Linked DNA regions of Callithrix jacchus. The protein of the gene in region 2 purifies or fractionates together with the protein of the main gene of each other region. This does not show direct contact. Links are inferred from orthologs where the notes say so. Each region holds a gene or a part of one and is shown on either strand. Other genes may lie near its edges.

Region 1 (3,500 bases), on a different chromosome or scaffold from region 2:
CCTCTGTTCCAGGACCCATATAACAAGTAGTTTTCATGCTTCCTTAGGCCTTTTTTTTTCTTTTGAGATGGAGTCTCTCTGTCACGCAGGCTGGAGTGTAGTGGGAGGTGAACCCTTCACCTCCTATCCTGCCTCAGCCTCTTGAGTAGCTGGGATTACAGGCAGGCACCACCATACCCGGCTAATTTTTGTGTTTTTAGTAGAGATGGGGTTCCACCGTGTTAGTCAGGCTGGTCTGGAACTCCTCACCACGTGATCCGCCAACCTCGGCCTCCCAAAGTGCTGTGATTACACTTGTGAACGACCACACCCAGCCCTTAGGCACATTATGGCTATGACAGTTTCTCAGACTCCTGATGATCGTGGCCTCCTGGTTGGGTATTTCGTAGAAGGTCCCTCAGTTGAGATTAAGTCTAATGTTTTTCTCATGATTACACTGGAGTTATTTATTTATTTATTTATTTTTGAGACCGAGTCTCGCTCTGTCATCCAGGCTGGAGTGCAGTGGAGCAGTCTCTGCTCACTGCAGCCTCCATGTCCCAGGTTCAGGCAATTCTCCTGCCTCATCCTCCTGAGTAGCTGGTACTACAGGTGCCCACCACCATGCCTGGCTAACTTTTGTATTTTTAGTAGAGACAGGGTTTCACCATATTGGCCAGGCTGGTCTCAAACTCCTAACTTTGTGATCCGCCTACCTCTGTCGCCCAAAGTGCTGGGATTATAGGCATGAGCCACCGTGCCTGGAGTTGTATTCTTTTTTAAAAAATCAGTACAATATTCTGAATTTCTAAGGAAACAGATTCACTCTGAGGTTAAAGAATTTGAGGCCGGGCGCGGTGCCTCACACCTGTAATCCCAGCACTTTGGGAGGCCAAGGCGGGGGGATCACAAAGTCAAGAGATCAAGGCCATTCTGGCCAACATGGTGAAACCCCATCTCTACTAAAAATACAAAAATTAGCTGTGCATGGTGGTGCACACCCGTAGTCCCAGCTACCTGGGATCCCATCACTGCACTCAGCCTGGTGACAGAACGAGACTCCATCTCAAAAAAAAAGAACTTGAAGTAGGCCGGGCACGGTGGCTCACGCCTGTAATCCCGGCACTTTGGGAGGCTGAGGCAGGCGGATCACTTGAGGTCAGGAATTCAAGACCAGCCTGGCCAACATGGCAAAACCCCGTCTCTACTAAAAATACAAAACCTAGCCAGGCATGGTGGCAGTCACCTGTAATCCCAGCTACTTGGGAGGCTGAGGCTGTAGTGAGCCGAGATCGTGCCACCACACTCCAGCCTGGGTGATAGAGCAAGACCCTGTCTCAAAAATAAATAAACGCGTAACTTGAAGTAGAACCGGGAGTTGAGCCCAGCCTTTTGTCACTGAAGCAGGTATTCTGTATTTGCTTGCCACGTCCGGGGAGAAGTGAACTGGGCTTTGTGGGCTGGGGAAGGACTCGTACGGACAGAAGGCACGAACTACTACAGCAAGGTGCTAGAAGACAGCATGTTTCCTCCTGCGTCTCACTTCCCCATGCTGGGAAGTTCCAGAGCCCCATGCAGTGCTGGGCTTCCTGTCTCGGAGCCTACAGCTCCCAAATGTTTTCTCTGGCTCAGCCTGACTCCCCCGTACCTGCCAGTGTGAGTCTTGGCCTGGTTTGTGACAGGCTGGCCATGGCCCTTGAGTGACCACTGTGTCCTTCCAAAGCTTCCTTTTCCGCCGCTGTCGCCGGTGTGACCTGTGCTATTGGACTTTTTTGGTCGTTGAGACAGGGTCTTGCTCTGTTTCCTAGGATGGAGCACAGTGCAGTGCAATGGTGAGATCATGGCTCCTTCCCAGGCTCAAGCAGTACTCTCACCTCAGCCTGAGTAGCTAGGACTACAGCTGCAGGCCACCTTGCCTGGCTAATTTTCCTGTTTTTGTAGGGACGGGGTCTTCCTGTCTTGCCCAGGCTGATCTTGAACTCCTGGGCCCAAGCTATCCACCCATCTTTGTCTTCCAAAGTGCTAGGATTCCAGGTGTGAGCCATGAGGTGGTGATCCCTGGCCCCCAGCTGAGCAGCTCTTTCAGATTCCAGCAGCTCTGGAACAGGGCTTCGTAATGGGAATGTTTCCTTCTCACTGTCTGATTTGATAGTCACTACCCCATGTAGCTACTGAGCGTTTGTTTTATATTTTGTGGAGACAGAGTCTCACTCTGTTGCCCAGGCTGGAGTGCAGTGGCACAATCACGGCTCACTGCAACCTTTGCCTCCTGGGTTCAAGGGATTCTCATGCCTCAGCCTTCCAAGTAGCTGGGAATACAGGCACGCGCCACCATGCCTTGGCTAATTTTTGTATTTTTAGTAGTGACGGGGTTTTACCATGTCAGCCAGGATAGTCTCAAACTCCTGACCGCAAGTGATCCACCCGCCTCAGCCTCCCAGAGCGTTGGGAATACAGGTGTGAGCCACTGCACTCAGCCCTGAGTGTCTAAAATGTACTTAGTATGACTGAGGACATGGTGTTTTACTTAATTTTGCTTATTTTGAACTGAAACAGCCGCATAGCTGGTAGCTGCTGTTGGGCATCACGGTTCTAGCTTGTGCTGGCGCATCATGGTCAGGGAGACCATCCTGGCCCCGTGGGCACTTCCCGCCTCCTGTCCTCTTTCCTGGCCTGGCGTTCTCCACGCCCGGGGTTGCGTTCTGGGTGGTCTGTCTCCTCCTGCTGTTCACGGTCTCCCTCCCTTTGTTAGAGAAGAAGGTGCACAGGACTTGGGTGTTTTATTCTTCAGTGCTTTTTCACTCAGAACAGGCAGGAACTAGCTTTGTCGGGGAGAGAGGTGGTGTCCTTGAGACGCCTTCCTGGGGCTGCGCCAAGAGCCTTGTCTTCTCTCCAGGCTCTTCCCAAGTAGTCTGACAATTTGGAAATAACATCTTGTCAGAAAAACTCAAAAGTGATTTGGGAACAGAGGTCGTAAGGACGAATCTTGTATTTCAACATTAGGCGAGAACCACTGTCTCTGATCAACCTGCGGAAGAGGAACGTGGAATCTGGGGAAGAGGAGCTGGCGTCTAAGCTGGACCACTACAAAGCGAAGGCCACACGGCACATCTTCCTCATTAGGCACTCCCAGTACCATGTGGATGGTTCCCAGGAGAAGGACCGCACTCTGACCCCGCTGGGTATGTGGAGGGAGTCAGATAATCTACAGCCCCCTTGGTTATGTAGTGGGGGGAATCAGATCCTCCAAAGATCACTCTTGGTTATGTGGGGGGGGTCAGATCCTCCACAGACCCCCTTGGTTATGTGGGGAGCGTCAGATCCTCCACGGACCCCCTTGGTTACGTGGGGGGGGTCAGATCCTCCATGGACCACCCCCTTGGTTGTGGGAGGGGTCAGATCCTCCACGGACCCCCTTGGTTATGTGGGGGGGGGTTCAGATCCTCCACGGACCCCCTTGGTTATGTGGGGGGGGGTCAGATCCTCCGTGGACCACCCCCTTGGCTGTGGGAGGGGTCAGA
Region 2 (4,273 bases):
CATGGGCCGCGCGCCCCAAGGCTGTGGAGAGGCAGGACACGGTGTCAGCCCACCATCCCCGGCAGCCGGCTAAGCCGTGGGAAAGGGGTCCTACTCCCTGACCATCACCCCCCACACATGGGGCCCAAGGGGAGTTCAGGATGGAGGAATAGAGTCCGTGGAGACAGACGGACACACAAATAATATCACAAGGGGACAAGGTGACATACAGTCTCAAAAAAGGGACATTGTAACACATGCATGGCTGAACGCAGTGGCCCACGCCTGTAATCCCAACACTTTGGGAGGCCGAGGTAGGTGGATTACCTAAAGTCAGATGTTGGAGACCACCCTGGCCAACATGGCAAAACCTCATCTCTATTAAAAACACAAAAATTAGCTGGGCATGGTGGTGCATGCCTGTAATCCCAGCTACTCAGGAGGCTGAGGCAGAAAATCATTGAGAGGAAGGTTGTAGTGAGCTGAGACTGCACCACTGCACTCCAGCCTGGGTGACAGAGCAAGACTCTGTCTCAAAAAACAAACAAATATAACAAAAAATAACAAAACAAAACAAAAAACAAATACAAACACACACACACGCACCCACACGGCTGCGTGTGGTAGCTTACTCCTGTAATCCCAGCACTTCGGGAGGCAGAGGCCGGTGGATTGCTTGAGGCCCAGGAGTTGGAGATTAGCCTGGGCAACATAGGAGGACCCTGTTTCTACAAAAAAATTCAAAAATTGGCCGGGCATGGTGTGCACCTGTAGTCCCAGCTACTCAGGAGGCTGAGGTGGGAGGACCACTTGAGCCCCAGAGGTCAAGGCTGCAGTGAGCCTTGATTGTGCAACTGTACTCCAGCCAGGGCAACAGAGCAAGACCCTGTCTTTAAAAAATAAAAAATAGAATTATAGGGCGTGGAGCCTATAATAGGCCGAGGCGGGTGGATCACCTGAGGTCGGGAGTTCGAGACTAGCCTTACCAACATGAGAAACCCCGTCTCTACTAAAAATACAAAATTAGCCAGGTGTGGTGGTGAATGCCTGTAATCCCAGTTACTCGGGAGGCTGAAGCAGGAGAATCCCTTGAACCCAGGAGGCAGAGATTTCAGTGAGCCAAGATTGCGCCACTGCACTCCAGCCCGAGCAACAGAATAAGACTCTGTCTCAAAAAACAAACAACAAAAAAAATTCAGTCACATGAATAAGGGGTCTCCCACCCAGTGGCACAGGCCACAATTTCACAACTCCACTCACACTAGCCTGGGGCCCATGACACCAAACTCCACACTTTTGTCTCACTGCACACAAAGCTTTTTCCTGCCAAAACCCCCTCATCCACCCAAAAACCCCATGAGAAAGTTGCTCCTTGGCCAGGCATAGTGGCTTTCTCCTGTAATCCCAGCGCTTTGGGAGGCTGAGCTGGGATGATCACTTGGGCCCAGGAGTTTGACACCAGCCTGAGCAACATAGTAAGACTCCATCTCTACAAAAAATTTAAAAATTAGCCAGGTGTGGTGACATGTGCCTATATCCCAGCTACTCAAGAGGCTGAGGTGGAAGGATCACTTGAGCCTGAGAGGTAGACGCTGCAGTGAGCCATGATCGCACCCCTGCACTCCAGCCCGGGAGACAAGAATGAAACTCTGTCTCAAAATAAGGAAAATTGATCCTATTAATTTATTTTACTAAGGCAGAGCCTGAGGACAGGAGAGAGAATCCACAAGGGGCTGACAGGCTCTTGCAGAGGGGCACACGTGTCATTAAAGTATAATAACATTCCTCACCTGCCTCTGTGTCCTTATTTTTTATTTTTATTTATTTATTTTTTGAGACGAAGACTTGCTCAGTCACCAGGCTGGAGTGCCACTGTTGTGATCTCAGCTCACTGCAACGCTGGCCTCCCAGGTTCAAGCGATTCTCCTGCCTCAGCCTTCCAAGTAGCTGGGACTACAGGCATGCTCCACCATGCCCAGCTAATTTTTGTATTTTTAGTAGAGACAGGGGTTTCACCATGTTGGCCAGGATGGTCTCCATCTCTTGATCCCTTGATGAGCCTGCCTCAGCCTCCCAAAATGCTGGGATTACAGGCTTTAGGGACTGCACCCTGCCCTCTGTGCCCACATCAATCCCTGCTTCCTTTAGTCCCAATGTACAGGTGAGAAAACTGAGGCTCAAAAGAAATGCTTCGTATCAAAGCAGGTACAAAGGTTTCCACGCTCCCACACAAACATCCATGCAGAAACGGCCCTCATGCAAGTTCAGATGAGAAAAGCAAGGCCTAGGGAGGGGAATGGACTTCTTTTGCACAAGGCAGAGATGCGTTCACCCCCAGAGAGCTTCGGTCACACACAGAGAACCAAGGCAGGCAAATATAGACAGACAGGAAGTCTCTGGCTCTCCCAAGCTGGAGATGGGGAGCCCAAATTGAGGAAGACAAGGTTTACACAAGCTCTGATGGGAGGCCACCCCCATTGGCCCAGCCTGCCCGGCAACAGGACTGAAGTGTGGGAACTTGCAGTGGCCCGGCCAGGAGGGGGTGAGGCCAGGGTGATTCCAGCCACCTTCTCCCCTTATCCCAGGCCCCGCACCCAGCTGGTGAGTCCCCAGCTTCCCCCTCCCCAGAGGCCTCCAGGAAAAGATCGGGGAACTCCCTGCAACGGGCGGTGCGGTGCACCTTTTTAGACAGGGAAGGTGGCAGCCAGGGCGACTGCCCTCCGGATCAGGCCCAGCCCTGCGCCCACATGGGTCCAGTGCGCTCCACTCACCCTGCGCCCTGATCGTGCGCCCCCCGCAGTCGCGCTGCCTTGAGCTGAGTGAGCAGAAGCCGCTCCGGGGGGCGGGGCTGGAGCCTCGCCGGAGCCGGCGAGGGGCTGGCCAGCGACGCAAAGGGCCGGCGGTCGCCAGCAGTTGCCCCTCCCCTCGGGTCCCGGGCACTCAGCCCGTGGCTGCCAGCCTGTGCCACCCGCCGCGGCACCGGAACGCGCCCCGGCGGCGACTGGCACAGGCGAGCCCTCAGCTCCCCGCTCCGGGCCTGGGCTGCCCCCTCCCAGGGACGCTCCGTTGCGAAGGGAGGACTCCGAGAGGAGGCGGGAAAGGGAGGGTTCTGCGGCAGGACGGTCGCAGCTCGAGCCTCTTCTCCCCAGCGGTGGGGTCTCCTCTGTCCTGGGTGTCCAGGCACTACGCCCTCCCCATTGCCCACGCACCTGTGAACTGAGCTTCCTGGGCTGCACCCCAAGGACGCCCCGTCGATGGTTCGGAGGGGTCTTTAGTGCTTGCTTAGCAGGAGTCTTCAGCAGGGGCCACCTTAGCCTGAGTCCGATCCCACCGGCAGATAAGTCCCTGCTGCTCCCGGGCACAGGCCCCTCCCAATTTCCCGCTCCCGCCCCCGGCTCAGGGCGAGTAGGGGTGAGACGGGCGGGCAGGATTGTTCTGGGAAGTTGATGCTCCTTAGATAAGGAGGGTCTGTCCAGTCCCACCCCCTGGATTCCGCGTTCCCCCGACTGGTTCTCTCCCACCCTTATTGCTGAGGACGAAGTGATTTACTCATTAATGGTGTTTCTGGACTGTGTCAGTAACAGTAAACCCCACCGATGTAAGGATTTTTTTTTTTTTTTTTGTCCCAGACAGGATCCCGCTCAGTCGCCCAGAGTGGAGAGCAGTGGCACCATCATAACTCACTGCGGCTGCGACCAGCTGGGCTCAAGCCATCCTCCCATCTCAGCCCCCTGAACATAGCTGCCGGGACTCCAGTCGCTTGCCACCATGCCCAGGTACTTTTTTTTTAAATAGAGACAGGATCTTGCTATGTTGCCCAGGCTGGTCTTGAACTCCTGAACTCAAGCGATCTTCCCACTTGGACCTCCTAAAGTGCTGGGATTACAGGTGTGAGCCACCGCAGCCTGTCCATTGGGGTAGGGATTTGAGTCTATCGTGGGCACTGCCAGGACACAGCCAGTGCCCATTGTCTGCTGCATGAATGAATGAAGGAAAGAATGTCTCCCTCACGTCCTCTGTGTCTCTCTCAGGAGGATCTTAGCATCTCTTGCCTGCGTGTCTCTCTGTCTCTGCGTGTCTCTTTGTTGCTGTCTGTGTCACTCTCCCACGCCTCTCCCAGGCCACTGCTCCTCCAACCAACCCTTCCCACTGGCCCCGAAATGCCTCCACCCCCACTTCCCAGGAGCTTCCAGATGGTCTCAGCTCTTCCACCCTCAGACTCAGGAAGGGGGGTCTGGGTCCCGCTGCTTCTCCAGGACCTTGCCCTTTGCCCCTGATGCTTCAGGCCCTGATG
Region 3 (3,500 bases), on a different chromosome or scaffold from region 2:
CACATTATGAACACCTACAAAAGCAAGAAAACATTTTCAGTCATTTGACTTTAATCATCTATAAACAAATCAGTTTTGCTGACACTGATAATAAGCCATCAAGTTTCTACTGCTTGGGTATGAGGCACTGGCCAGTTTACTAAGCTAAACGTCACTAAGTGTGTAGGCTTACAACAGTCTTAGTCAAAGTAGAACTTTCTGGGGCCAAGACCCCCTGCCACAAATCTAATACCTAGCATCTGGTATGCACCTAGACATAAAATAGTTCCCGAGTAAGTACGATTATTTCTAGGTGGTGTAGCCACAGGGCTGAAGTAAGAAAGGACTGAAACTATCTTCATATGTAGACCAGGCTAGTGAAATTTACTGATTTTATATTCCCCTTTGCCTCAAAGATGCCCAGTCTACCTCATTTTTTAATTCTACCTTTACCTCTTGAACTGATCACCAGCAGTATAATCTTAATTGTCTTCATTTGAGCACAGATAAAAGTCTGCTTTCTTGTCATTTTATAATATGTTCCATAACTGAAGTTAGTTCAAACCATTTGATCTATCATTTTTTTTAGAGATTCTCTGAAACCCATTTAAAAGCTTTACAACTGGAGGTGAAAAATGTTTTATTAGATCTTTTCTACACTTCTCTTTTGAAGTATTAAATGACTAAAAGCAAAGCTTCCTCCCATTTCAGCATTCATTCATTCATTTTTCTTGCTCTGTTGCCCAGGCTGGAGCGCAGTAGCACGATCTCTGCTCACTGCAACCTCCGCCTCCCAGGTTCAAACAATTCTGCCTCAGCCTCCCAAGTAGCTGGGATTAGAGGCGTGTGCCACGTGTGTGGCTAATTTTTGTTTTGTTTTAGTAGAAACAGGATTTCACCATGTTGGCCAGGCTGGTCTCGAGCTCCTGACCTCATGATCTTCCGGCTTCAGCCTCCCAAACTGTTGGGATTACAGGCGTGAGCCACTGTGCCTGGCCCCATTTCAGCTTTTAAAAAGCTATTTTGGGCAGGTGCAGTGGCTCACGCCTTTAATCCCAGCACTATGGGAGGCCAAAGCAGGAGGATCACTTGAGCCCAGGAATTCAAGATTAGCTGGGCAACATAGTGAAACCTTGTCTCTACTCCCCCACCAAAAAAATAAAAACCCAACTGTTCTACTGTACTATTTTCAGAATACTATGGCAAAACACAGTTGGTTTATACAATTTGATTAGTTTTTAATATATGCTTTAATCAAAGTTACATGTCAAGCCTTTATCTTACATACTTGCTAAATGTGAATTTGTCTTTGTCCATACTCTTCAGAAAGTTACCCCTAGATCTGGCTTTAGCAAGAACGAAGTCAGAAATGGAAGGGAAATTTCTATGTACGTACCTGAGGTATCCAGCTGCCCCTGTTCTAGGAGAGTCTCATCAATTACAAGGGAAGTATTGCTGGGCAGCTGGAGGAGCCCACTGACCAAGCGATTGGCTGTGTAGTCTTTGTGGGGAATGAATTTCAAATGGTTCATGTTCTCTATAGTCATCTGCAGACGAAAAGACTGCAAAGGAAAATTTTTTAGTGAACAAGAATTTAAGTTTCCCTGTTTTAAGAAATATGCACTTGGAGTTAAACACTGTGTTTCATATGGAAAAAGTGATCTTACCAATTTTAATTTAACCAATGAAACAAATGGTAGATAACTGACGTACAAATATTAAATATCCCAAAGCCTAACTTCTTTCACCTAATGCAAGCTAGTAAAAAGGAAATATTAATTTTATTCTTCAAGATGGGGAGAGAAAAGTTTAATTTTCCTCTATATTCTTTGAGTTAAAATTACATTCATTCATCATAGACATTTTTGAAGAAACTTTTCAGAGAAAAATCAAGGAGCAGAGCACACTGAGCTGTGGTGACATGCTGCAGCTCTCAGGACATGGCTCCCGGCTGTGTGCACCTTCTTCTTTAGTCTAATGAGTAAGCGACCCATCTATGCTCCTCCTCCAGCTCCTGAGCCACCACTCTCAACACTCTGTGCTCTGCTTTATACAACAATCATTATTCTACCCCTTCGGGGGAAGGCTGTCAAGGAAGAGGTAAGACGTATTGCCAAAATTTAGAGGTGTTTTATACATTAGCTCAGTGAATCTAAAAAAACAGGGGAGCTTAGGGAAGCTTAAATGACCTACCATGGCTTAATTTATTTGTTGGTCCTTTACCTAAACTCCGTAAGGGCAAAGGATCTGACTGTTTCAATAATTCTCAAAATGGGGTCCAGAGAATCCCCAGGGAATTGCTCAAACACTTTTCTGGGGTCAATCAGGTCAAAATCATGTATGAAGAAAAGATCCTTTCAATGTGTGAGACTAATGAATTTTATCCGAGGCAGGAGAATTGCCTGAACCCAGGAGGCGGAGGTGGCGGTGAGCCGAGATCGCGCCATTGCACTCCAGCCTGGGTAACAAGAGCGAAACTCCATCTCAAAAAAAAAAAAAAAAGAAAACGTCATGTGGATAGTTTTGGTCTACTATCACAGGCCAGCACCAAGTTACCTACAAAGGCTATTGAAACCATCCTTTACCAGCTACCTTTCCAACTGTGTGAGGCCAGCTTTCCTTTATATACTTCAACCAAAACCTCAAATTACAACAGACTGAAGGCAGAAGCAGATACAAGCATCTGTTGTCTCCTATTAATCCAGACATTAAACAGACTTGCAAAAATGTAAAACAATGTTGTTTTTATCACTAACCATTTTTGGCTTGTGAAAAGTTGTTTTTATAAAAATATTTGTCTATATGTAGTTTTTTATTTTTAATAAATATATTTGCTTTACCTTCTAATTTGGTAAATTAATGATAAATATAACATGAAAAATGTGAAAAACAGCACTTTGAGTACTAATACGTTTTTCAGAGTGTCAAGTGAGTCTAAGGAGACTGAGAATTGCTGGAGTATTCTGGTCCACTTGTGCTTCTGAGGGCCTGGACGAGTGCTAGCACTGAGACACTCAATACATTTGGTTCAATGAGGATCTAGTGCAACCTCTTCAATTTCCAAAGAAGGGATCACTATTTTCAGTCACACAGCTAATCAGAAGCAATTCCCCTGTTCCCAAGATCCTAGCACCACACAAATACTGCATTCTAGATACCCTGGCAAATAAAGTGAGCTCAACTTTCCAAACAGGAATTAAAACTGGGTAAATGGAGACAAAGAACTTTATTACCTCAGCTAAAAGAATTATGCTCCTATAATTTAGAGTTCATTTAGATTTAAGATTTTAGTGCGCAAAAAGGATGGCAAATTGCACAAACAAATGGGTATCAACAGAGTATAATTTTAAGGGAGTTACTGCAATTGTATTAATTGTTAAGACTGACAGAAATTTGTGCTTAGACAAAAAAAAAGTGAAACGTTTAGGGGAAAGTACATTTTAAATTATGTAACTTGGCAGGGTTTGTTTCCCCTTAAATAAGATCTATTATATCTCTAAGTTAAATATTTGGGTTGAATG
Region 4 (4,241 bases), on a different chromosome or scaffold from region 2:
TCTAAAATCTTAGGACAACCTCTAGGTTCAATTTTAATGTGTTGGGTCTGTTAAATTTAGCATTTGATCAAAGCTCAGAACAGAGCAAAAGTCTCCCACCACCTCTGGCTCTCCCTTACAAAGGCAGGCATTACAAAAAGACTCGGTAGAAGCATTTTCTTTAGTTTGTCTTGCCCTAGAATGCAGGTCACGACTTTCTCCACTGCTTTTGACCTCTGGCTAGCAATTGTACCTATTTTCAAAAGGCCCTAAGTGATAATGCTTTTGGTATTCTGAGAACGGCTGTTTATGAAAGGCTTCCTTGCTTTCGCCTAAGTCAGATATTTACCAGGTGGCATAGGTCAGAGGTGCAGAAAAGTTTGTTTTGTCTTAGCAGGGCAGGAGGATCCACTAGAGGACTCACTCTTAACAGGTGAGTCCAAGGAAGCGCCTACAAAAGACGCAGTGGTGAAACTAGCTGGGCACCTGTAATCCCTACCCAAGGCAAGGCTGAGGAAGGGGGATCGCTTGGACCCTGGAGGTCGAGGCATGATGGCGTCACTGCATTCAGCCTAGATGGCTAAGCAAGACCTTGCCTCAAAAAGAAAAAAAAAGGTAAAAGATGTGGTAGTGCCAGGCGTGGTGGCTTGGGCCTGTAATCAATCCTAACACTTTGGGAGGTTGAGGCGGGAAACAGCTTAAGGCCAGGAGTTCCATACCAGACTGGGCAACTGAAGTGAGGCCCTCGCCTTAAAAAAAAAATTAGCTGGGTGAGGTGGTGCACGCCTGTGGTTTCCAGCTACTCTGGAGGCTGAGGCTGGAAGATCGCTTGAGCCACGGGAGGTCAAGGGTGCAGTGGGCTCTGACTGAGCCACTGCACTACAGCCTGGGCGACAGAAGGGACCCTCATCTCTAAAAAAAATAAAGAAAAAAAGAAAAGAAGCAGTGGTGAACGCAAGCAGGTATGGTAGCCCAATACCATGGGGAGGCCAAACAGGCTTTAAGGCAGCATTCCGTCCTCCACACCCAGCCCGGAAGCTTTCCTGCCACACAAGCTTTCCAAGCATGCTAGCTCGCCCCAAGCAGCGCCCATCCCGCAGCATCCACTGCAGCCACCGCAGAGAGCGGCGCAGCTTAGAAACCCGTCCCCAGGTGGGGAAAACGGTCCGCGGGAGTCACGTGGGCGGGAGGCCCAGCCAGAAATCTCAAGACTGCGCAGGCCCCTGAGCCTCAGCGCCCCCGGCTCCGCCCCGCCCGCGCGCGAGTGCGCGCGCGCGCGCGGGGGACTACGCCCGTGACGTCGGCGGGGCACAGCGGAGCGGGACAGGAGGCGGGGCGCGGGCCGGAGTGGGTGGGGCGAGTCGGTGCTGCTGAATCGGGCGCCCGGACGAGTCGCGCATTCCAGCGGGGTCATGTGACGCGGCCGCGAGGCCTGAGGTAAACAACCGCGGCCCCGCCTCCCGGGCCTCCGCGCGCCCCGCGCTCCTCCTTGTCGGCGAGACGCGCTCTAGCGGGGTGGGTAGCTTCTTCCGAGAGTCCCCTGCGGCCGCCGCAGCAACTGCAGCGGGCAAGGCGCCCAGGGTCTGCAGGCCGAGCGCACCGGCAGGGGTCGAGCGCGCGTCCCGTCCCCGCCCTCCCCCCACGCTGTGGCGCAGCAGGAATTTGGCCGGGACCCGGGAGCTATTCGCGGCTGCTGACGCGCGGCGGCCGGCGACCGGGCGCTCATCTCTATTCTGGGGCCGTTTGGTCACCGCGCTCCGCCGGCCCCCTCCCCCGGGCCCGGAGGGTGTGTCCCCCGCTCGGGGGCTCGCCGCGCCTATAAGGGGCCGAGCGGCGGGCAGGGACATGCAGCTCTACAGCAGCGTCTGCACCCACTACCCCGCCGGGGCCCCGGGTCCCACGGCCGCAGCCCCCGCGCCGCCTGCAGCCACCGCCGCCGCCCCCTTCAAGGTCTCGCTGCAGCCCCCGGGAACCGCCGGCGCCGAGCCCGAGACCGGTGAGTGCCAGCCCGCCGCGGCCACAGAGCCCCGGGAAGCCGCCGCTGTCCCCGCCGCCAAGATGCCTGCCTTCTCCTCTTGCTTCGAAGTGGTGTCCGGGGCCACCGCGCCCGGATCCGCAGCCGCCGGCCCGCCCAGCGCGTCCTGCAAGCCGCCACTGCCGCCGCACTACACTTCCACCGCGCAGATCACCGTGCGGGCCCTGGGCGCCGACAGGCTCCTGCTGCACGGGCCCGAGCCCGCTCCCGGCGCCGCGGGCTCTGCGGCCGCCCCGCGCGGCCGCTGCCTCCTGCTGGCCCCGGCGCCCGCAGCCCCCATCCCGCCGCGACGGGGCTCTTCCGCCTGGCTCCTGGAGGAGCTGCTGCGGCCCGACTGCCCCGAGACGGGCTTGGAGGCGGCCCGGGAGGGGCCCGATCGGAACTTCCGACTGAGCGAGCACTGCCAGGCCCTGGCCGCTGCCAAGCATCGAGGCCTCGCGCCCACCCCGGGGAGTCCCGACGCCGGCCCCGGTCCGTGGGGCGAGGAGCACCTGGCGGAGAGGGGCCCCCGGGCCTGGGAGAGGGGCGGCGACCGCTGCGACGCGCCTGGCGGGAACGCGGCTCGGAGGCCCGACCCGGAGGCCGAGGTGTCTCCCGGCCGGAGCAGCGAGGCTGCCCCGAGCAGCGCGGTGGAGCCGGTGGTTGTCCCCAGGTCGGATCCCAGAGACGAGAAGCTGGCCCTGTACCTGGCCGAGGTGGAGAAGCAGGATAAATACCTGCGGCAGAGAAATAAGTATCGATTCCACATCATTCCCGACGGCAACTGCCTGTACCGAGCTGTCAGCAAGACTGTGTACGGCGACCAGAGCCTGCACCGAGAGCTGAGGGAGCAGACCGTGCACTACATCGCCGACCATCTCGACCACTTCAACCCCCTGATTGAGGGCGACGTAGGGGAGTTTCTCATCGCTGCTGCCCAAGACGGGGCATGGGCTGGGTACCCCGAGTTGCTGGCCATGGGGCAGATGCTGAATGTGAATATCCACTTAACTACTGGAGGGAGGCTGGAGAGCCCCACGGTGTCTACCATGATTCATTATTTGGGCCCAGAGGATTCCCTGAGGCCCAGTATTTGGCTCAGTTGGCTCAGTAACGGACACTATGATGCTGTATTTGATCACTCCTATCCTAACCCAGAGTACGACAACTGGTGCAAACAAACTCAAGTGCAGAGGAAACGCGATGAAGAACTTGCCAAATCTATGGCCATATCCCTGTCTAAAATGTATATTGAACAAAACGCATGCTCTTGAAGTGTCTCAAAACCTTAACACCCTGGGAAAATTGCATACATAACTTGTGTTTGGAGAATCACGTGAACTCTAATCAGGGTAATAGCACTTTCAAACTTCCTAGTAGATTTTACTGTAGGTGTAATGCCTTAATCATCTTTTTGAATGTTTTCTCAGAGCTGAAGGTTGCTGGGCACCCAAATGATGTTTCATGATAGCTTAGGGTGATTTTACTGCTATTTATAATTTGCTGTATAAAGTGAGCACTACTTAATTTGCAAGCTGTTTTCTCACAGTGTAAATTTGTTCATTCCTGGTAGTCTATTTTCTATAAAAATGTATTTTTGCACAACATTTTTAAAAACTGGTGTACCTTCATCTATGACGTGTCCCATTTTGACAGCTTTCAAGCATAAATCCAGAGAAGTGCTTTATATGAAATGTATTATTTTGAACAGAGTTTGTGATTTGGTAGTTCTTACGTTGTTGAAATTTGATTTTCACAATTCTTAGATAATTATTTCAGATGGATATTGATGTATTCTTGTTACCAAGTGTTTGGCCCATTCCATTTTGATGAAACAAATCTGTTCTGTTGGAAATAATTATTTTTCTAGAAATGGTGAATCTTTTAAAGAGAAATACTTAACAGAAGGTTGTGGGAAGGTTTTTTTTCTTCTTTTAAGGGATAGTACCAGGTCTTACTTGAATGAAAGTCTGATATTTGCCGATGACAGAGTGATTATTCTGTACCCTGGTTAATGTGTAAATTGTCTGGTGCTCTCAGTTTTATTTACATTTGTCACTTTGTTATAAGAGAATCTAACTTGGTATAAAATTTTGTGACAAGATAAGCCTCCTGCTTTATATAACTTCTTGGATCCAGCTAAGAGATTTATAAACTAATGTCATAAATGTCTGGAGCCAACCTTGGCAGTTATAGCAGGAGAACACTGTCTTAGTATTTCTTTTACATTCTTTCAAAAGGCAAAAAA
Region 5 (3,500 bases), on a different chromosome or scaffold from region 2:
AGGAGGTGGCAGGAGGAAAGGAGGTGGCAGGAGGAAAGGAGGTGGCAGGGCTGGTAGCTCCTTCCAGCCCTGGAGCTGGAAGGACTGGAGAGAGATTAGAGGGATGGGGAAGAGTGAGTGACAGTTGGTTATGAGGGACAGGAGTCAGCGGTATTCCCCAGAGATGAAGAATGGGCTGCTGTCCAGAGTGCACCCAAGGCAGCCTGCAGGTTGGGTGAGGGGAGGGGCTGAGGTTGCGCTCTGGCCCTGGTGACGGTGTGAGGGTGGCTTCTGGGGCCTAAGTTTCTGAGTGGGGAGGAGGCACACGTGGAGAAGGCGAAGAGGCTCAGCGCAGCGCTGGGGCAGACCCACCACTTTGTTATCATAGAGCACCAGCCCGTAGTTGTGGGGCACGAGGCTGAAGCGGTTCCTCCACTTCTTGCTGTCCTCCTGGTACTGGAAGAGGTTCCCCGAGAAAATGATGCGCTCGTCCAGTGGCACCTGTGGGCAGGAGGGGGCGGGGAATGAGGCCCAGATCGGGGGCTGGGGGGATGCTCCCCATGAAGCTGACAGCCCAGTCAGCAGACCTGTGTGCAAGCCCCCGGCCTAGTACGTCCCCCACTTTGCATCTCCCAGGGTCCTCCCAAAGCCTCTGAAGCCTGGCTGCCTCTCACCCATTCTGCAGATGAGAAGAGTGAGGCTCAGAGCTGTGGAGGGGCTCACCCAGGGTCCAGGCAGGGTGGCAATACCAGGACTTGAACCCAGGACAGGAACCCACCTACTGCACCACGCTGCTCCTCACCCACCTACAGCTGCAGCACTGGTGCCCCGCAGTCGTTCCAGGCGCAGGGGACACACCCACAGGCCAAGACTTCGAAGGCCCCAGTGCCTGGGCAAGTCTATCCCTGGCTCTAGGCCTCCATTTCCCCTCAGGGCAATGACAACTTGAACAAGGTGGCTCCAGAGAACCTCCCAGCTCTGATCACTGATGAGACGGCCTCCCTCAATCTGGGTGGGGATGAAGAGTGCCTCTGTCTGGGGGTGTTTGACGTCTGACCCACGTCCTGGCAGGCTGGTGACCTACGTAGACTGGTGACCTACATGGGCTGCAAAGTGCCCAGACCTTCCTACAAAGCCCAACTCTGCCTGACTCACAGCGTGTTTCGTCACTTTGAGCATCAGTTTTCTCAGCTGTAAAATGGGAATCATAAGAGTTGGTACCTGACAGGCAGGTGCATAATACACAGGACCACCATGACCACTATTGGTAGGACTCAGTATCTGTGATAGCTTCCCAGCCCCAGGGACTGACTTATCTGGGGATGGGGAAGGGGATCTTTAAACCAGGGTTGGGGGCCCAGTTGGAAGCTATGGCCAAGTGCAAGGCCTCCTGAGCAGACAAACACCAGGAAGCTTTTGGAAGGAGAGAGACCACAATGAGAGATGCTTCGTCTTGGATGGGAGGGAATCCAGGGGAGTACAGTGTTCCTCTGTTTCTTAGCAAATTCTATTTGTTCTACAATAAATAAGGTGCCTTTGGCCTGACGTGGTGGCTCACCAGGTCACAAGTTCAAGACCAGCCTGGCCAACATGGTGAAACCCCATCTCTACTAAAAATAGAAAAATTAGCCGGGCATGGTGGCACATGCCTATAATCCCAGCTACTTGGGAGGCTGAAGCAGGAGAACTGCTTAAACCCGAGGGACGGAGGTTGTGGTGAGCCGAGATCGAGCCACTGCACTCCAGCCTGGGCAACAAGAGCGAAACTCCGTCTCAAAAATAAACAAGGTGACTTTTGCAAAAACAAACAATTCTCCGAAGCAGTCATGGGAGAAAGGGTGATTGTGCCTGCACCTTCCTGGCTTCCTGGCTCTGCCCAGGCCCATCCTCACAGTCCTGTCTCCTCTTGGCCCTGTGCACCCTCCACCGCGTCCCCCTCTCCCCACTCCCTCCCTGCTGCTTTTCAAGGGGAAACACAAAACACTCCTGGAGAAGCAGAGCCCATTGTGCTCACACAATAGGACCTGCAGGCTTCTTCCTACCAGGGACAAAAATATTTACAGGAAAAGAAAATGGTTCCCCTACCACCCTCCACCCTACACACAGTGGGCTTTGCCCAAGTCATGGAGCTGCCCTCAGTGGTCTATATATAAACTTCCCACACCCAGCTCAAATCCCTGTCTTTTCTAGAAAGAGCAGAGAGCTCTCATAACACCAGAGGCAAGAGGCAAGAGGCCTCTGGTTTTCCTTCCTCCCTGTTTAGGGCAGGAGCCCCAGGACACAGGGACTCGCACTCAGGGACAGGGCCAGTCCCAGCAGGAGGCTGTGCAGAAGTGGGCTAGCGACCTAGGCAGGCTTAACAACCCCCACCACCCAATCCGCCCCCAGATCCCAGGGAGCTCGCAATGGGTGGCTGGCTGTGGGTTTGGGTTTTATTTTTAAGACTTTCAAATGGCAGAGTCGTGTTTCGATTGGAAGGCCTGCAGGAAATGAAATGGAACTCGACAGCCCAGGCAAAATAGTTTAGACTCTGCAAAGCTCTCCAGTGCCTCAGTCAGAGACAGCACAGGCCCGGGGTCACAACCAGGACTCCTGTCTCAGCACCACCACCCACCGCCAGAGCCTGGACAAGCAGCTCTGCCTCTCTGAGCCTCAATGTCCACATCTGTGATGTGGGCATCATCATAGCCCCTCCCTCAGAGTGGGGCCAGGTGGCTGAGCAAACAATACAGACACAAGACAATTGCTGTTTTAGCCAGGCACAGTGGCTCACACCTGTAATATCAGCACTTCGGGAGGCCAAGGCAGGCAGATCCTGAGGTCAGGAGTTCGAGACCAGCCTGGCCAACATGCTGAAACCCTGTCTCTGCTAAAAATACAAAAAATTAGCTGGGTGGGTGGTGGACGCCTGTAGTCCCAGCTAGTGGGGAGGCCAAGGTACAACAATCACTTGAACCCAGAAGGCAGAGGTTACAGAGAGCCGAGGTCGTGCCACTGCTCTCCAGCCTGGGTGACAGAGTGAGACTCTGTCTAAAAAAAAGCAAAAACAAACGAAAAGACAACTGCTGTTTGATTATTCTTATTTTTGTTGTGTTATCATTATCACTATTTTTATTTTTTTATTTTGTCCTCTATGAGAAGAAATTTGGTTGAAATTTTATTGTATTCTATTGTTTCTAATAAAAAACAGTGTTGTTTTTATCACCACTGGTGATTAATACTCTCTCTAGTAATATGATGTTATTGTGACTTTACATTGTGATAATCCGTTTCCTGAGGGACAAAATAAGACCAAAAATACCTGCTTTTCAGGGACTGTGGGTGATTTCATTTCACTCTCCTTGCTTACCTGTTGCCATTTTTCTATAATAAATACACACTCCTGCCTCCCCAGAGTAAATGGGGCCTCACGCAGAGGAAATGCTTAACGCCCTCAGCTGGCGCCCACTTATCTTAGAATTTTAAGACTTGGGCTGCCTGTGACATTGCTTTCCAGACAGGGGAGCCATTCTGGCCCCACT
Region 6 (4,198 bases), on a different chromosome or scaffold from region 2:
AGGTTATTTTTATACTGTGGTTTGTGCCCAAGGCCAGGAAGGGGAAAGAGTTCGCATCCTCACACTCCCTGCCTTTCCCCAGCCCTCCGAGGTGTTATTTTCTCCCGCAGGACAGAAGTATTCAATCCCCATGTCTCTGGCTTCTCGCCCCCACCCTGGGGACCCAGGCATCCTGCCCCCCACCCCCAGCCCAGACTTGTTCCTCTTTTGGAGACAGGAAGGAGAAACAGTACGGGGACTGCATTCCTCCTCAAGTTCTTCTTGCCTGGAGGGAGTTGAGCCAGACAACTGGGGAGTGAAAAGGATCAACCAGCAAGCCCCTTCCCCATCCCAGGGAGGTGTTCCCCCCACCCAATTTCTCCATGACACTTGGCTTGCAGCAAAGCTAGAAGTGGGACTGCGATGGGTGGCTGGGGGAAAAGAAAGACCCCACATTCAGGATGGGGCTGCAGTGGAAAGAGACTGGCAGCATACAAGGCCTACCTTTTACCATTCCTCCCCAAATCCTGGCAGCTCCTACCCCAGGGACCCAGCTACCCAGCTGGGGCCTCCACCCTCATCACCTAGAGCCAGAGGAGCTGAGACCAAGACAGAAGAAGGCCAGGTGAGGAGGCCACATATGCCAGGCCACGTGAAAACCAAGACAGAATCAGAGGCCAGAGAGAAAGAGAAAGGGTGCAAAAAACAGGAAGGAGGCTGAGGCAGAAAACCAAGGAAGGGGCTTGAGAGTGACTTGGCAGGCACAGAGAAGGGGCTGTCTGATCTGATAGACAGGTGATGGAAGAGGAGGAGGTGGAGGAGGAGGAGGAGAAGGGATAGGAGGGGGGAGGAGGGGGAGGGAGGCAGAGGTAGGGAGGCCCAACATGAAGGTCAGGCCAGGGCTGAGATGGGCGAGCCCTAGAACCCAGGTCTTACCTGCCCCATCTCCTCTGGAGCACCCAACTCCATCCGCAGCCGCATGTCTACAGCCTTCCTCCGGGACAGTGGAGGGGTCCTGGACCCGGAGCCCCCAGCCTCTGCTTCCACCCTCAGGGAGGGCAGGGGTGTGGCAGCCCGAGATGTGCCCCCGCTCTCCCCAGTCCCAGGCTCTGGGGGGCGCTGCTGAGGCGGGGAAGCCGACAGTGGGGGTGTCTCTGCCTTGGCTTTTCCGGGCACCACCAGCTGGCCCAGCCCCCCAGTGAAGGAGCGGGCCTGAGGTCCGGGAGAGGTCGGCGGTGGACGGAGCCAGGAGGTGGGGCCCTGAGACAGGCCTGACTGTGGGGTGGGGGTGCCCAGGCCGAGGCTGGCCAGCTCCAACCTGGAATCCAAAGATCTGCCCCCAGCGCCCGCTGATGTCCCTCGAATTCCCTCCAGGAGGCGGCCAAAGCTGTGGGGCTCCAGGTCTCGCTCATAAACATCCACACAAGTCCAGCGACCTCGGCGATAAGGCTCTCCCAGGCCGTGGGGCAGCTTCACCACCCGGAAACGGGAGGAGGGGGCCCCAGGTGGGGGAGAGCCATTACGGGGGGTGCCCTTGCCCCCCGGATCAGGGCTGTGCTCCCCATTTGGCAGGCGGGGTGGGGGCCCGGTGGGGGGCAGTGGGCCAGGGGGGTCCGAAGCCGCTGGGCTCCCCGGGCCCTCGTAGTCCGTGGTCACGCTGGTGATTTGGAAACTACTCTTCTTCTTGCCCCCGCTCATGGTCCCTGGGGCTCAGGGCTGGGCCAAGGTTGGGGGTAGGCTGGGGCTCCTTGAAGGGGCTCAGGCACCCCTGGAACAAGGGGGCCACATGGTGGGGGCATCCGGGCCCCTGGGGACGTCTGGGTCCGACATGGCAGGAGGGCCTGGCGGGAACCGGGGGTGCCTGCTGGGTGAGGGGAGAGGAGGAGAGTGGAGGTGGCAGGAGGGGGGAGCAAGGGCAGGTTTTTCCTGCTGCTGTCGCTGCTGAACTCCAGAGCTGAGTTTGCAAACTGGAAAAAGACAGAGAGAGAGAGAGAGTTTATGTGTGTGTCTGTGTGTGTGTGTGAAACCAGTGGGCAGGCCACCTCCGGGGCTTCCTCTCCGGGGAGCAAAGTGGGGGAAGAGGAAACCGTCAGAGAACCAGAGGCAGGCAAGAGATGACAAGAGACCAGGGCAGAGGGGACCGGATCCCAGAAGGCGTTCAGGGTAGGAAGAGGCAGACGGGTCCCAGAGTTGAACATTTCTCGCTTGGGATTCCGACTCAGGGATCCTGCATTGTCCCAGGAGCTCGGACTCCAGGGCCTGGGAGAACCGGGGTGAAGCAGCTCCCCAGCCTGGCCCGGCCACCCAGAGAGAGACCTCTCCTAGGCCTCCAGCCCCCACCCTCACCCCAGCTCCCACATCTTTGGGTCAAGCCCTGCCAGGCTACCCCTCTGCGCCCCGCCCAGCCACAAGCCCTACCTCTGGGGCCTCGGCCACTGATCTGAGCCTGGGGGTCCCGGCGCCTAAGAGGTAGGGCTGTCGGTTCCCTGGGGCCTCCTGGCCCCGGGCAGTGGCGGGACTCGCAGGCGGCGATCACAGGCTGCCCCGTCCTCTTCGGGGGCCGCAGCTCATTCTGCGAGGCATCTCCGTGTAAAGTTTGCTCTCCGAAAAGAAGGAACCCGAGCCTCCTCCGAGGAGCCCAAGCGCGGCCTCTGAAGCACCAAGGGTCTGGAGACGATGTGGGAGGGGGCGGCGGAGTCCCCCGCTGCTCCCGGTGGCAGCCGGCGAGTTGGTGTCCCGAGTCTCCTCCCGCGTGGCCCCGCTGGGTCCTTGTCTCCGCTCCTCGGCTCCCCTGGGTCTGCCTCTCCGTCTTTCTCTTTCTGAGCTGTTGACAACCCCCACACCAGGAAGTCCTGCCTCCTCGGGCCTGCTGACTGCTCCTCTCCTCCTCCTCCTCCTTCCCCTCTTCCTCCCCTTCCTCCTCCCTCCCTCCCTCCTGGGGCTCCCCGCCAGCTGGCCAGGGGCCAGGCCTGCCACAGCCGCTGCTGTTGCAGTTGTTGCGGCCGCTGCTCAGGCTGCTGCTCCTGGGGGCCGCAAACAGACTCCCTTAACCCCACACCTGCCGGGCCCCAGCACCACTCTTGCAGGGAGGGGCTGCAGAGGGCGGGGCTCGGGGAGAAAGGGGAGGAGCTTGCAGGGAGGCGAGGGATTCCCTTACTTGTAGTCAATTGTTGCCCCTCTCCTAGAGACTCACCAAAGAGAGGGACGGCACAGGCCTGGAGGTGTACTGGGTGCCCCCCCAGAAGTGCCTAGTTCCTGCTGTGGGGCGGCTGTGGCTATTACCGTCATTCTCCTTTCCTTTCCACAGCAACTAAATGAGGAAGGTACTATTATTCCCCTCATTCCTTATTTTTAAAAGTGGATTATTGCCGAATACTGTGGCTCACACCTGTCAATCCCTGCACTTTGTTTGGGAGGCCGAGGAAGGAGGATAGCTTGAGACCTGTTTGGACAATATAGCAAGACCCGGCCCCTACAAAAAATAAAAGAATTAGTTGGGCATGGTGAGGTGCACCTATAATTCCAGCTACTCAAAGGCTGAGGTGGAAGGCTCGCTTGAGGCCAGGAGTTCGAGACCAGCCTGGGCAATGTAGCGAGATCCCTGTCTGTACAAAAAATTTTTAAAATTAGCTGGGCATGGGGAGGTGCACTGGTAATTCCAGCTACTCAAATGCTGAGGGAGGAGGATTTCTTGAGCCGAGGAGTTTGAGACCAGCCTGAACAATATAGCCAGATCTCCATCTCTACAAAAAATTTTTTAAAAAATTAACTGAATGTGGTGATGTACACATATAGTCCCAACTACTCAGGAGGCTGAGGCAGGAGGATCTCATGACCCCAGGAGGTCGGGCCTGCCATGAGCCAAGATGCACTCCAGCCTGGGCAACAGAGTGAGATGACATTTCATTCAGTGAAATGACATTGTTCGGGAGCCAGCTGTATTTTGCTAGACTATTTGAAATCAAATCCTGGACATTATATTATTCCCCTCTCCCCCACCCTCCTCCTTTTTATTAGAGACAGGGTCTCTCTCTCTCTCTCTCTGTTGCCCAGGATGGAGCACAGTGGTGTGATTAAAGCTCACCACAGCCTGGAACTCCTGGGTTCAAGCCATACTCCTGCCTCAGCCTCCCAAGTGGCTAGGACTTTAGACGCATGCCACCACACCCAGCTAATTTTTAAATTTTTGTAGAGGTGGGGCTGTCACTATGTCCCCCAG
Region 7 (4,218 bases), on a different chromosome or scaffold from region 2:
AATTACACAGAAAAAAGTGAGAATCAGGTTTACAGCAGAGCAGCACTTAAAAAATCATTTATTTTCAGGACTTATAAGGAGGTCTACTCCCAATTTTTTAAAGATTATAAAACAGCACCCCTAATATAAACACTAAAATAAGTTGTTAAAAAGAAATTTGTCCTATGACCTTTCAAAAAAATTACAGACCATTCCCTAGAAAGTGCCAGAGAAAAAACCAAACCAAACCAAACAAAAACCCATGCCCTTTTGGAGAAAAAAAAAAATATTACTCAGTTTCTTAAATGATCTTTCAAAAAATATTACCCAATCTCTTAAATGATCTTTTTCTCTCTCGGCTCTCTATGCTTAGTCTAGAGAAGCAAAACAGAGATTTGAGAAACAGTCCAAATTTTTCATGACAGTTTTTGAGTGAGTCTTATCTTTTTCTGAAACCAATTCCCCAGGTTTGTATGTCAATACTTAGGAAAATTGAGAGAAAATTACTTGCAGTCTCTCCATCTAAAGGCTGCCCCCGTCAGAATTGCATAGAGCAACTTCATATACTTTCATTGACACTTTGGTACTGCTAGATTCCATCCAACCGAGTTCGGAACGTTTCACAAGATGGAATACAAACTGAAGTTGAATTTAACGAAAAGTTCTGGGAACAGCTTGTGTCTTTTAAAATACTGATAGGTGGAACATTCCTGTTTGAAACTACAGATAAATTTGAGGGTTGTCAACCTATTTGAGGATTCACTGGAGTGCATTAATTACAGAGCTTTTTTCCTCCCAATATATTGTAATTATAAAACTAAGTGGAGTGTGGGGGTACCTGCGAGATTAACTGCACATTTTCCCAAGTTATCAGATGCTTTTCAGTACGACGGAAATTAAAAGACATTTTTATTTTCAAAAATAAAGGTAGCAGCTAAGAAAAAGCAAAGCATATACATCTATGTAATTTAAAGAGAGAAAGCACACAGAGTGAAAGATTAACAGTTGAGACCCCCCAGGTGAAGGGTATATGGGTGTTCGCTGTATGATTTTTTTCCCTGAATTTTTCTGTAGGTTTGCAGTTTTACATATAAAGAGTTGAGGGAAGGGTAAAGTCAACCGTTTTAATTTAGTACTCGGTCCTATGACTTGCTTCAGCCTAACATCTAGCTCAGGATTTAATTACTTCAATACTATACATGCGTCATGACAGATGCTCCTGTATACACAATTCAGGTAGAACTGATTTAAGTCCACCCAGCGTCAGTGTATGTCTAAATATAAAGAAGCCTGGAAAGTCTGGATGGAACCCTGAGAGACAGGCTAGTCCCTTAAGCAGTTGCTAAAGAGCTGAGCAGTTCCTTCTGAAGTTCCAGATAACACTACCTAAGAATGTTATCACCGCCCTGTTCTGCAATTCGCTCAAGGGAATCCTGCTAAATCTTTGCTCCTCTCAAGAGTAAGACCTACGTGTATTAGTGGAAACTACTTATGAAGTGAATTTTATTTCTAAATTTCTAATCATCTTGGAATACAGTATTAGGCACTGTCCTCTCGGCCGCTAATCTGATCAAACTGGGGTCCCTAAATCCGAACACGCACACCCGGCGTGTCTTCTAGCACACAAGGCACTTTAAAAAGTAGGGAAGCTACTTTACCCTGTTATTTCCCTGGTTTACTTCCTCGCTTAAAAACAAAACACAAACCCTGACGGATACCATAAAGACTGACAAATGGTTTTGTTGTAACTGTGTCGTTCTAGAAAGAGTGGATTTGAAGTGAGTGAATCGCTGAGTCCCGCGATGAGACAGGCTCTGCATCTTGCTCTTAAAATCCCGGGGGTGTCAGGACCACATCCCAGCTGAGCAGGCTGAGACTGCCGCGGAATGCAGACTGGCGGGAGGAGGGGACTGGGAAGGGAGGGAGAGGTGACAGGCGACCCGTCCAGCGCGGGTACCGGGGACGCGCGGTTCCCCGAGGCTCCCGGCCGCTCGCCCCCCGCCCCTCCCCTTTGCTCCCCGCACAGCCTCTCCCGCCCCTCCCCACCCGGCTCCTTCAAGTCTCCACGAACGGAAATGGGAGTCACAGCGCCGGGGACCAGCGGAAACAAAACACAGAGGCGGCCGCGGGGGGGCCGCTGTGGGCGAAAAGGCCCCGGAACGAGGCCGGCCCGCGCGGGCCCACGCTCCCCTCCTCCCCGGCGGCCGCACTCACCAGCTCCGGAATCGGCCCTGTGGCCCCCGCCCGCGCTCCAGAGCCGGCTGAGAATGGCAGCGGCACAGGCTCCACGTGCTGCGTCTCTCCGGGTAAGACCTTCAGCTCCCGCGACTAGAAGTGTGAGGCCCTAGGGCCCTTCCCGCGGAATCGGCGCTGAGAAGCCCCAACCCCCCTCCCGCCTCCCAAGCACCTCCAGGTCCAGGACTACAACTCCCAGCAGGGTGCGCGAAACAAACGCCCAAGGCAACGGAGGCTCACGAGGCACAAGGAAGCACAACGCCCCAATCCGCTTTGTTTTACACAGTCTCACTTTCCCTGTACCATTATACACCTCGATAACCCTAAGGAACAGGACGCTGAGTCGAAAGACAGCTTGAACTAGGGGACAGGTTAGACAAAGTGCGCATGCGTACAGAGCAAGGTTTCAAGGAGGGAAAGAGAACGGGTCAAATTAGGCGAAGAAAAGATGGCGGAGTCTTCGCCACGGGACCCGGAAGCACTTACCCTCTACTTCCTCCTCCTGTTTGGCTTCTGTCTCACCTAGAGCCGTCCGGTCGCAGACTTGTCTCCGAGACGCTTCCTGTCCGGTGAGCGTCGACCGACTGAAACGGCGGCCCATAATGCATTGCGATGGCGGGTAGGCGTGTGGGGGCGGAGCCAGAGCCGGAAGTAGGACGGTGGTGGTGGTGGCTGCGGCGGCTTTGGCAACTCGGTACTGAGTGCAAGGTGACTGGGAGGGTAGCTAGATCAGCGTGGCCTCTTGGGACTCCAGATCTGGGTTTCTTCACGAGGGCTGGGCTGCCTCTCACCTTTGCTCTACTAGAAGGAGAGAGCAGCTCTGTGTCCTGGGGACATTTACGGCCTGGCCCGGGGTCACAGCTGACCTCTACGCTTCTAGACCTTGGAGTTTGCCTTAAACCTAGAAATAAGACTGATACCTTCCCAGGGGGCAAATCGGGGCCGCGCGGGAGGCAGGGAGGCTGGGAGGTCTCGGGCCCGCATCCTGGCTGGGGCATCCCAAGGTCAGGCGCGCGGGAGAGGTTTTCGGCTAGGCCTGCCCGCCCCGGGCGCAAGTAGCCGTCTTAGCTCCTTAGACAAAATGTCCACCAAAAGAGGGCAAAGAGTAGTCATAATCTTGAAAGTTTGCTTCCCACCTACAAACGATGATAGTGCTAACACTTCGTTAGGCAGCTTTATGGATTGTTCTTAAGAACATACACTGACGAGACAGCGAACCTACTAACCTTTGGCCTGTCAGTCATCACTGTAATGGGACAACGTTGCTCCCGCCCACGACAAGACCTCTGCTCGGACTGTAGTGTTTTCTTACTGTTGCGTTCCCCAGTCTTTCTGATCATGTCAGACGCTATCATATTCTCTCGTGTCACCCGATGGTACTGGAATGGAGAATTTATGGCAGGTGGTATTCCACAGCTGTTTGTGTAATGACTGTCTTCTGCGAGTCAGTGGACAATATGCATTCACTAATCAGTGAAAAAAATGAAAGGGATTAAAGAAGGAACAAGTTTTGGTATGAGATTATGTGTTAATTTTTTTGGATGAGTTCGTAGAACTTATAAGGGAGATGAGAACTGTTGAATAGAGTGTATAGATTTGGGGTTCAGGAAGAATACCAAAATTAGAGATGCGATTCGGGAATGATAGGCACTTAGAAGATAGAAAATTGAAACGATGAAAGTGGATTTTACCCATGTTGTAGCAGGAATAACATCTCTGCAGTCAGACTTAGAGAAAATTAGCTGTATGAATATGTGCAGCTTGACTTCTTAGACATAGATCTGTAAAGCAGAGATAAGAACGTTTCCTTCTAACTTTTTTTTTTATTGTAAACAGCTTATTTTTATTTTTTATTTTATTTATTTATTTATTTTTTCTTTTTTTTTCTTTTTTTAAATTTTTTATTGGATTATAGGTTTTGGGGTACATGAGCAGAGCATGCAAGACAGTTGCGTAGGTACACACATGGCAGTGTGCTTTGCTTTTCTTCTCCCCTTCACCCAC

Evidence for each region.
Region 1: the proteins of KEAP1 (region 2) and PGAM5 purify together in Homo sapiens (affinity purification with western blotting; 6 studies listed by BioGRID and IntAct, with this or other methods). This does not show direct contact. The link is inferred for Callithrix jacchus from reciprocal best matches to the Homo sapiens genes KEAP1 and PGAM5.
Region 3: the proteins of KEAP1 (region 2) and MCMBP purify together in Homo sapiens (affinity purification with mass spectrometry; 3 studies listed by BioGRID and IntAct, with this or other methods). This does not show direct contact. The link is inferred for Callithrix jacchus from reciprocal best matches to the Homo sapiens genes KEAP1 and MCMBP.
Region 4: the proteins of KEAP1 (region 2) and OTUD1 purify together in Homo sapiens (affinity purification with western blotting; 3 studies listed by BioGRID, with this or other methods). This does not show direct contact. The link is inferred for Callithrix jacchus from reciprocal best matches to the Homo sapiens genes KEAP1 and OTUD1.
Region 5: the proteins of KEAP1 (region 2) and NIBAN2 purify together in Homo sapiens (affinity purification with mass spectrometry; 3 studies listed by BioGRID and IntAct, with this or other methods). This does not show direct contact. The link is inferred for Callithrix jacchus from reciprocal best matches to the Homo sapiens genes KEAP1 and NIBAN2.
Region 6: the proteins of KEAP1 (region 2) and TSC22D4 purify together in Homo sapiens (affinity purification with mass spectrometry; 4 studies listed by BioGRID and IntAct, counting the BioPlex papers as one, with this or other methods). This does not show direct contact. The link is inferred for Callithrix jacchus from reciprocal best matches to the Homo sapiens genes KEAP1 and TSC22D4.
Region 7: the proteins of KEAP1 (region 2) and GABPA purify together in Homo sapiens (affinity purification with western blotting; 3 studies listed by BioGRID). This does not show direct contact. The link is inferred for Callithrix jacchus from reciprocal best matches to the Homo sapiens genes KEAP1 and GABPA.

What each region holds. Positions count from the first base shown.
Region 1 is NC_133510.1:135,914,500-135,917,999, forward strand, and holds part of PGAM5 (serine/threonine-protein phosphatase PGAM5, mitochondrial), read left to right. Parts: intron 1-2,982; coding exon 2,983-3,161; intron 3,162-3,500. UniProt on the Homo sapiens protein: Mitochondrial serine/threonine phosphatase that dephosphorylates various substrates and thus plays a role in different biological processes including cellular senescence or mitophagy. Modulates cellular senescence by regulating mitochondrial dynamics.
Region 2 is NC_133523.1:9,696,606-9,700,878, forward strand, and holds the start of KEAP1 (kelch-like ECH-associated protein 1), read right to left. Parts: upstream 2,801-4,273; 5' UTR 2,751-2,800; intron 22-2,750; exon of another isoform or gene 4-21; coding exon of another isoform or gene 1-3. Other genes in the region: S1PR5 (sphingosine 1-phosphate receptor 5), read right to left, coding at 1-3. UniProt on the Homo sapiens protein: Substrate-specific adapter of a BCR (BTB-CUL3-RBX1) E3 ubiquitin ligase complex that regulates the response to oxidative stress by targeting NFE2L2/NRF2 for ubiquitination.
Region 3 is NC_133513.1:112,978,467-112,981,966, reverse strand, and holds part of MCMBP (mini-chromosome maintenance complex-binding protein), read right to left. Parts: intron 1,542-3,500; coding exon 1,376-1,541; intron 15-1,375; coding exon 1-14. UniProt on the Homo sapiens protein: Associated component of the MCM complex that acts as a regulator of DNA replication.
Region 4 is NC_133508.1:23,883,459-23,887,699, forward strand, and holds the start of OTUD1 (OTU domain-containing protein 1), read left to right. Parts: upstream 1-1,441; 5' UTR 1,442-1,824; coding exon 1,825-3,267; 3' UTR 3,268-4,241. UniProt on the Homo sapiens protein: Deubiquitinating enzyme that specifically hydrolyzes 'Lys-63'-linked polyubiquitin to monoubiquitin.
Region 5 is NC_133502.1:176,149,496-176,152,995, forward strand, and holds part of NIBAN2 (protein Niban 2), read right to left. Parts: intron 481-3,500; coding exon 352-480; intron 1-351. UniProt on the Homo sapiens protein: May play a role in apoptosis suppression. May promote melanoma cell invasion in vitro.
Region 6 is NC_133503.1:13,245,114-13,249,311, reverse strand, and holds the start of TSC22D4 (TSC22 domain family protein 4), read right to left. Parts: upstream 2,801-4,198; 5' UTR 2,398-2,800; intron 1,947-2,397; 5' UTR 1,678-1,946; coding exon 916-1,677; intron 1-915.
Region 7 is NC_133522.1:31,940,315-31,944,532, reverse strand, and holds the start of GABPA (GA-binding protein alpha chain), read right to left. Parts: upstream 2,801-4,218; 5' UTR 2,701-2,800; exon of another isoform or gene 2,116-2,700; intron 1-2,115. Other genes in the region: ATP5PF (ATP synthase peripheral stalk subunit F6, mitochondrial), read left to right, coding at 2,817-2,833.